Callithrix jacchus: one gene and its partner. The protein of the gene in region 2 interacts with the protein of the main gene of each other region in a pairwise test. Links are inferred from orthologs where the notes say so. Each region holds a gene or a part of one and is shown on either strand. Other genes may lie near its edges. The genes, in order: NCOA6 and ESR2.

Region 1 (4,572 bases), on a different chromosome or scaffold from region 2:
ACCATGCACCAGGCTGGAGTGCAGTGGCACAATTTCAGCTCACTGCAACCTCCACTTCCCAGGTTCAAGCAATTCTCCTGCCTCAGCCTCCCGAGTAGCTGGGACTACAGGCACACACCTCCACACCCAGCTAATTTTTGTATTTTTAGTAGAGACGGGGTTTCACCATGTTGGCCAGGATGGTCTTGATCTCTTGGCCTTATGATCCACCCACCTCAGCCTCCCAAAGTGCTGGGATTATAGATGTGAGCAACCGTGCCCTGCCCTCAAATATCTTTATATTATACTACAGTTGTTGCATATAATCTTAAAGTACCCTTTAAGCGCATCATATCTTTGAAATTATAATTATCGGATCCATCACTAAATATGATTTCTTAATGTGCTGATAAACAAGTATATGCATATTAGATTTTTATAGTGTAGTAATTGTATTTCAATATAATTGGTGTTCCTTATAATCCAATGTATTTTATTTTATACAATTAAAAATATTATTCTGAAAGGGGTCCATGGCACAGATAAAGTCAGGTCTTCCAGCATTAGAAAAACCCAGAAAAGGCTCACACCATGGTGGCTCACGCCTGTTAATCCCAGCACTTTGGGAGGCCGAGATGGGCAGATCACTTGAGCTCAGGAGTTCAAGACCAGCCTGGGTAACACGGTAAAACCCCATCTCTACCAAAAAGAAAAAAAAAAACAAACCCAGAACAAATGAATTGTGTTACTGTATATACATATGATATTGACGATCTTATTTTATATATAACCCTTTTGTTCATTAATTCTCTTTGATTATATGGGGCCCTGGACCTATTTTTCATGACTGATTTGCATATTTCCTTCAGACCCATAGTCCATGCAAACTTTGAATTCTTCTCTCACAGGATCCAACTTCGATGAACACAATATAGACTCTGGGTCTCTACCATTGTTCACTTTTCTTTTTTAGGATTTTGTGTTCCTTTATGATAAACACCTAGAAGAGAAGGCATCTCTTTTTTTAAGACAGTATCTTGCTCTGTCGCCCAGGCTGGAATGTCATGGCATGATCACAGCATGGCTCATTGCAGCCTTGACCTCCCAGGCTCAAGCGATCCTCCCACCTCAGCCTCCTGAGTAGCTGGGACTACAGATACAAGCCACATCAGATGGCTAATTTTTTGGCCTTTTTTGTAGAGATGGGGTCTGCCAACTCCTGGGCTCAAGGAATCCTCCCACCTTGGCCTCCCAAAGGGCTGGGATTACAGGCATGCGCCACTGTGGCTGGCCGGAGCATCTCTAAAAACTCTAGAAAGTTAGAAAGTATCAAAGATAACTTCTTTGCACAATTAGAGACGAGCCAGGAAATACCAAGTAACTGTATTCCCTTCGGCCTTTGCATTGCCAAACTCATTACAGGAACAAAACAAATTTAATTGTTCTCTGGTATATACTGTTACGCTTCATTTCTTGTTGTTTTTGTTTGTTTGCTTCTAGTTTCATCACAAGAATGTTACGCTTCATTTCTTAACACCTTTCTCCCAACCAGCAAATTCCTTTAAGGAAATGTGTTTAAACCACTTCCAGTAGCCCCTCTGCCACTAACTTATAAGATCTTGAGAAGTCAACTTTACCTTTCTATGTTTCAGCTAAAATCACTACCTGAGTTGAAATCTTTACTTGATCTCTCAGGTCTTTGTAGTTTTTATACATTCACTCTTCACCATTTTACTGGCTTCAATAACGCCTTTCTGATGACCTCTCCAGGTGACCCTGCTCTTAAGCTGTGGGCTGTCCCATTCCAGGGAAGACACCTTGGGTCACCGCCCCCAAACAGGCGGGTTCCTCCTTTTAAAGACACACACAACTCCCAAAGTTGATGTAGGTTTTCTCCTTTCTTGCCAACCAGTTCTACTCTCTGTACCTCTTTTGCTGGCCAGCTTGCACCCAAACCTCAGTCCCCCTGTTCTCTCCTCATCAAACACCTTTTTCCTGTTGCTTCCCCCAATAGGGGGTGGAGGATCCTTGGGACAGAAGTCTTCAGAGCCTTGTGAGTTACACAGCTTTGCAATTCAGTTCCACTACCCCAAGGACTGCCCAATCTGATACCAGCGTCTGGATCCAAAGGGCCCTCATTTCTCATCAATCGCCTCCGTCCTTTCCCGCAAAGAACTGTTCCAGCCCTGACAGCCTGAGCCTGACCCCAAGCCTCCACCCCAATCCCCAGATCCTACCAGCACTAGGGCTCTCTATACACCGCCTAAGGCCTAACCCAGTTCCACGTCCTGCCATCCTTTCAGCCCTTGGACCCCAATCCCGGTTCCTTTCGGTCCCGGTGTTCCTTCTCGGCGACCCTGACTACGACCCCACGACCCCACGACCAGCTCCCGCCAGTTCCCCAGGCCTGAAGCGCCACCCCGTGCAGACCCCAGCCAGCCCTGCACTCCCTCAGTGCACCGGCCCCCGCGCCCAGCACCCTCCCCACCCCGCCGGGCCACCGCTCCCTCCAGCGCCCCCGCCCGCAGGCCTAGGGCCCGCTCCCCAACATGGCGACTGGGACACCAGCGCGGCGGGCGGGGCGGCTCCGGGCCGGGCCCACACTCGGACCGTGCAGCACGGTCGCCGGGCGCCATTTTCCCGCGCCGGGCCCGGGCGGCGCCTCCTCCCAGCAAAGCCAACCCGACCCGGACCGCGGACGCCCGGCGGGCCCACCCCTTACGGGCCCGCGCCGCCGTTGCCTCACCTGAGCGCGGCCCCGGCCCTCCCGGGCGGGCCTTGGAGCGCCGGCCCGGGCCGTGCGTGCCCGCCGCCCTCCGTGCGTTCGTCCGTCAGTCCTCGCGTGCGCCCGTCTGTCCGGCCACCCGCGCCCGGCCGCCCGCAGCCCGACCCGGCAGGGCCTCACGGAGCCGGCGGGGAGGGGGATGGGCCGGACCGGGCCGGGGAGGGAGGGGGAGGGAGGGAGAGAGGGAGGGAGCGCGAGAAGGGGCGGGGCGGACTCGAGGGGCGGGGCATCGCCCATGTGACCAGACGTTCCCGGGAGCGCGAGGTGGAGCGCGCGCCAGCTCGCTTCGGTGCTGAGTGCTTAGTGCGGGTGTATCGTGGGTCTCTGTCGACTTCCCAGGGCTGTTCTCCCGCCAGTGAGTCCCACTTCGGAAGCACACACGGCACAACGTTTTGCGAGCGCTCTGGCTAAGTACCCTTGGACGTGGCAACTCCAAGCCTCAGTTTACCTATTGAAATATGGAGAAATTCATAGTGCTTGTTGAAGAAGAAATGGCGGGGGGCATGGAAAGCACTTATCGCAGTGCCTGACACATACTGTCTAATAATAAGCTTAATGGGGATATAGATAGAAGCTTTCATTATTAGTTGCCTCCAAATCCCTCTCTTCTTTTTCCCATCATTACCTCCCTAGCAAGCGAAATGCTCAGTTAATAGAATTCTTGATCGAACAAGTGAGTGTGGCCCCTCCCCTCTTCCCAAATGTAGAAAGGCCTCCTCAGCACTGGACTTGATGTCTGTCATTCAGGCCTGCATTCATATCTGGCTTTCACTCTTTTTTTAAATTTTTTTGTTCTTTTTCCCACACTACACTGATGTATTTTTTTAATTTTTGTGAGTACGCAGTAGGTGTATATATTTATGGGGTATATAAGATTTTGATACAGGCATGCAATGCATAATAATCACATCATGGTAAATGGGGTAAATGGGGTATCTAGCACCTCAGCATTTTTTTTAAAAAAGATGGTGTTTCACCATGTTGGTCAGGCTGGTCTTGAACTCTCGACCTCAGGTTATCCACCCACCTCGGCCTCCCAGAGTGCTAGGATTACAGGCATGAGCCACCGTGCCTGGCCGCACCTCAGCATTTATCTTTGGTGTTACAACCCAGTTATATGCTAGTTATTTTAAAATGTGCAGGTAAATTGTTTTTTTACTATCATCACCTTCTTGTGCCGGCAAATACTATGTCTTATTCATCTTATTTTTTGTAACCATTAATCATTCCCATTTCCCAGCCACCTCCCACTAACCTTCCCAGCCTCTGGTAACCCTCCTTCTACTCTGTATCTCCATGAGTTCAATTGTTTGAATTTTTTGCTCCCATAAATAAGTGATCACATGGGAAGTTTGTCTCTCTGTGTCTGGCTTCTTTCATGTAACAAGGACCTCCAGTTACATCCATATTGTTGTAAATGGCATGATCTCATTCTTTTTTAATGGCGGAATAGTATTCTATTGTGCACATGTACATTTTATTTACCTATTCATCTGTTGATGGACACTTAGGTTGCTTCCAAATCTTGGCTATTGCGAACAGGGCTGCAGTAAACATGAGAGTGCAGATATCGCTTCCGTATACTGATTTCCTTTTTTTCTGGTGTATACCTAAGAGTAGGATTGCTGAATTGTATGGTAGCTCTATTTTGGCTTTTGCTCTTGATAGCTACCCTTCCCTCTCTGAACTTCAGCTTCTTCATCTGCAAAATAGGAGTTAGGGGGCTGTTCTGAGCATCACAGGAGATGGAGGATGAACAGGAGGATTGTAAACTAATTAAACAGGTCAGTCCTACTGGTCCCATTAAG
Region 2 (4,371 bases):
CCCATTTGCAAATAGCATTGTCTTTGCCTTAATTTATCCCAAGGTACTAGAATTCAAACAAAAATACCACAGACTCAGCCTATAAAAACAGAAGAACAGGTTTTTCTTTCAAGAAAAGTGAAGAAAGGAAAATATGCATAAGTAAAAACATACTAAAGAGCAAAACTTGTGGTATAACATTTTGGAAAAAAAAAAGAGCAAAATTACATAATCAGCAAACAGATCAGTGATTTTCAGGGGCAGTGGGGTAGGTGGAGAGGGTTGACTACAAAGAGGTACATGGGGGACTTTTGGGGCGATGGAGCTGTTTCGTGTCTTGTCTGTGGTGCTGGTTATATAACTGCATCTGTCAGAATTCACAGAGGTACACTTACAGAGGCTAAATTTTACTGTATGCAAGTTACACTGCAGTAGCCTAATTATTTAAAAGTACTATTACATGTAAAACAAAATGCTGGACACCTGAATTATGAAATCTAATGTTCAAGCATACAATTCTCAAGGGTTCTAGATGTATTATCAAAAATTTACTAGTAAACACTTCAAGTTCAGCCTTCAGTATTTTATATTTTATTCATATTCATGTTCTACAAAATGATTCAAAACATCACCTAAAATTATCACAAGATGTATTTTGAATCATTACATGTTGAATCATTTATAGAAAATGTCAATGTCTTATTTTTAAGAGTGACCATATCAATATCTATTAAATGTTAATTAAATGGTTATAAGTTGAATTTACTACTAAATTCACCTTTTCTGAATTATAAATACATTTTGAGAAGTGTAAATGGTGATTAGATTTATTCACATCCCTCAGAACACTATGAAATGTGTCCTAAACATGTTAATTGATTTCAGAGACTTCTGTCTTGAGCAAAACTTAAGTGCTACAAGCATCTGATAGCTTTTGAAATGAGAATGTTCAAGAAATTCATCTAAAAAAAAAGACTTGAACGTAAAATGCAATCCTAAGGTGTATGCTCTAATGCCTATTGATGAACAGATCCTTACAGTTTCCTTCTTCTAGAACTTATGCCAAAATATATTGATTTTCTTCAGAAAAAAATAGTTGAAAATGTGAAGCATGTTTTCATAGTCATAGTACATTTGCTTTTCACAACACTCTCAGAAAAACCTTTCCTTTCACATGTTCACTTTTTAAACATCTTTCCCCTCACACAGAGGAAACTAGACACTGAGTTATGAAACTTACAGCAAAAGGAAAACTTTCTAATGGAATGCCCATGTAAATACTAGAAATATAACAAAATAAGGCAAACTCTTTCCTCCCAAGTGTTGCCTACCACACCAAAACACAATTCTGCTTTTTAAACAGCAAGTAAAATTAAATCGACCTTATCTTCCTCAATAGAAGTCCATTCGAAGTTTTATTTTTCACAAAAATGACATTTACTTGACTTAATATTACCCTTCCAATAAGAATAACACGGAGGGGGTTAGAGGGCAGTAGTTGGACCCCTCTTCAGCAAATAAAGGATACCAGATAGCGCTTAGCCCAGGAAAGGAGGAACTCAGCTTGCTGACATGGCTGAGGAATGCCAATACATTAAAAAACCCCTATCATCTGTTTGAGACATGTACATCTTCCCAGGTCCTCAAACTTCAATCAGAAAGTGTGTTCAACAGTCATTTCATCTACACTGGGGAAATCCACCGAGGAAAACCAGAGAAAAAGCAATTTTTTTCCCAGACATTCATATTAGCAAAATCAATCCAGAGCTCACAAGCACAAACTAAATAAGTTAACTTGCCGGTATCTTGAATAGAGACATTTGATCAAAGCATGATCAAAAGTATTTTCCATCTTTCCGGCAGCTTGCAATACAGTTGGTTTTGGTGATTTTTTTTTTTTTGGTCTTTTATTGTTCTCAACATGACTGGTTTCTCATCGCAGGATTTCAAACAAAATGAGAAATCACACCTTGAGCGAAAGGGCGCTTACCTTGCGGATAAACACACCGGCCTTGCAGTCTCTAAAATGCGGACACGTGCTTTTCCCGCAGTAGGGGCCTCCCGGCACGCGCCCCGCGGCCACCTGTTGAAAGCGAGCGCTCCTCGTGCAGCCCCGGCTCCGAGCGCCAGCCCTGGGGCCCGTCGCAGCTCGGGTGGTCCCTTCCCAGCCCAGCGCTCGCCGCCTGCTCTCTGCCCTGCAAGTTTCAAGAGGCAGTTATTTCCCGCAGCTGCCTCCGGGCGGGGGAGTGAGTATCCGAAAAGCCAGCGGCTGGAGAAACTGAAAAGATCACCAGCGACTTAACGATAAGCCCCTTTTTTCTTTTAAAGACCGAGAGGACGGTAGAGGGGAGTAGTGCCTAAGCCCACGTGACCACAGAGGAGCCCGGCGGTCTCAGGAGCACCCGGCGCCGCGCGTGACCCCGAAGTGGGAGCACCCTTGAGCCGCCTCCTGGTCCACCCACAAGGACAGTGGCGCACAGATGGCGCTCCCCGCAGCCCCAGTCTCATATTAAGGGTTTTGGAGTAGCCCGAGAACATGCATTTCCAACCAGGTCCTGGGAGATGCTGACATTGATACAGCCAGTCTGGGGACCATACTTCGATGATCACGTCCCCAGCTCCTGACTCCCCTGACTTACATGGGTGCCATTCAGTACAGAAGTCCGATTCTAAGGATCCAGTGGTGAAACCAGAGAGGCTTTGGGTTTGTCAGATCCCCAGCAGCAAACGTAACCTCGGGTCCTAGAGTGGCAAAGCCGTGAACTAGAGGTGGAAGGCTTGGGTTCTCAGCTCTTCAAGAGCTCTCTGGAAAGGCCTTTGGCGTTATATCAAAGATCCCAGGTACTTCCTCGAACTCACTTGGTGGAAGTGGCACCGCGAAGACCTGTGCTTCCGGCTGCGGTGCCCTTCTCCCCTGGAGGCGCCTGCCCACTCCCTCCTCAGATGAGGGACCCTCGCGCCCCCTGGTGGCAGCCCCAGTTCCCCGAGCTTAATGGGGTGTTCCCCTCACACACCCCAGGACCCCCAGGTTGTGAGACTAGGACCACAGGCTCAACTGGCTTTAGGGCAGCTGACGATGATGAAAAGGAAAAGGAAAGTATCATGTGACCCACGGGCCATTGTGAGACTCGTGTCACATCTGTGCCTAATTAATCATCAAACCATCTACTCAGGTGGCATAAGGGACGTGGTTTTTGAGGGTTGTGATCCAGATCTTTAATAGAGGAAAACCAAGGGGGCATTTGGAGGGAACATTTTACAGGGCCAGCCTCAGTTGTTCGGTGTTTAGCCAAAATAGAGAGAGGGTTCTGGGTTGATAAGGATGAGGTCCACAGGTAGTGAAGACAGGCTCCAAAGATGGAGAAGCACCTGCTTCTTCAGCTAAACAGTGGCTGTGAAAAGTCTCCACTGCCCCACTCCAAGTCCAATTTTCATTAAAGCTGTGAGTTCTGGTTTCTCTCCGGTTGAAAGGCAGTCTTTCCTTGAGGCAGAGAAGTTAGTTTGGACAGGAAGAGTGTGTCACTGGCAAGCAACTGCAGCAGACAACATGCCAATCTCAGCCTCTCTGTCCCGTCTTGGGGTCTCTCAAGGTACCCAGTCCCCATATACTCCCTTCTCCTTGCCACCTTATGGAGAAAATGTTAAATGATGGGTTAAAAAATCAACTTCGTTTGGTGGTGTATACTTGTTAACAAGATATCTCTGGAAATGGAAACCATCGTGAAGGAATTTCAACCATGAGCCAACAGGCAAAGATGGGTGAGGGTGAAGAAAACACATCTATCAGTATCAACATCATACCTAACTATGTGCTAAGCACCTGCACAGCATCTCATTTAATCCTCATACCAGCTCAGTGAGATAATATTGACTCCACTTTTCAAATGAGGAAATTGAGGCTCACAGAGCTTCTATCAGCTACCTGAAGCCACATAGTGAGAAAGGAACCCAGTAACAACAGTGGCTTCATAGAGAGCTACCACTTATTGGACATTTTATGCCCCACTCTCAAAAATTCTTATTTTATATGCAAGCCTGTGAGGCAAATTCTATAATCCCCATTTTATACTTGAGAAAATGAATGATCAGGAAGGTTAAACAACCTACCTATGGTCACATGACCTATCAGTGGCTAAGAAGGACTTGAATCCAGGAGAGAGACCAAGGGCCCATTTACCTCATGCCTGCAATCAGAAGTGAAGGTGGCTTGACTCTGCTCTATGCAGAACACTGCAGACAAACTCCTGCCACCTGTGAGGCAAGCTTCTACTCTGTGTTCACTGTGATGCTTCCTTTAGAAGGCATTCTACACACAGGAACAGCATGTTCTCTTTCTAGAGCAACTCAGACACCCACAGAAGCTGTTTATTATACAAGGAAAGCTCACTGCAG

The links.
Region 1: the proteins of ESR2 (region 2) and NCOA6 interact in a two-hybrid assay, tested with the Homo sapiens proteins (3 studies listed by BioGRID). The link is inferred for Callithrix jacchus from reciprocal best matches to the Homo sapiens genes ESR2 and NCOA6.

Annotation. Positions count from the first base shown.
Region 1 is NC_133506.1:4,479,764-4,484,335, reverse strand, and holds the start of NCOA6 (nuclear receptor coactivator 6), read right to left. Parts: upstream 2,921-4,572; 5' UTR 2,726-2,920; intron 1-2,725. UniProt on the Homo sapiens protein: Nuclear receptor coactivator that directly binds nuclear receptors and stimulates the transcriptional activities in a hormone-dependent fashion. Coactivates expression in an agonist- and AF2-dependent manner.
Region 2 is NC_133509.1:98,955,994-98,960,364, forward strand, and holds the start of ESR2 (estrogen receptor beta), read right to left. Parts: upstream 2,865-4,371; 5' UTR 2,619-2,864; intron 2,175-2,618; 5' UTR 1,970-2,174; intron 1-1,969.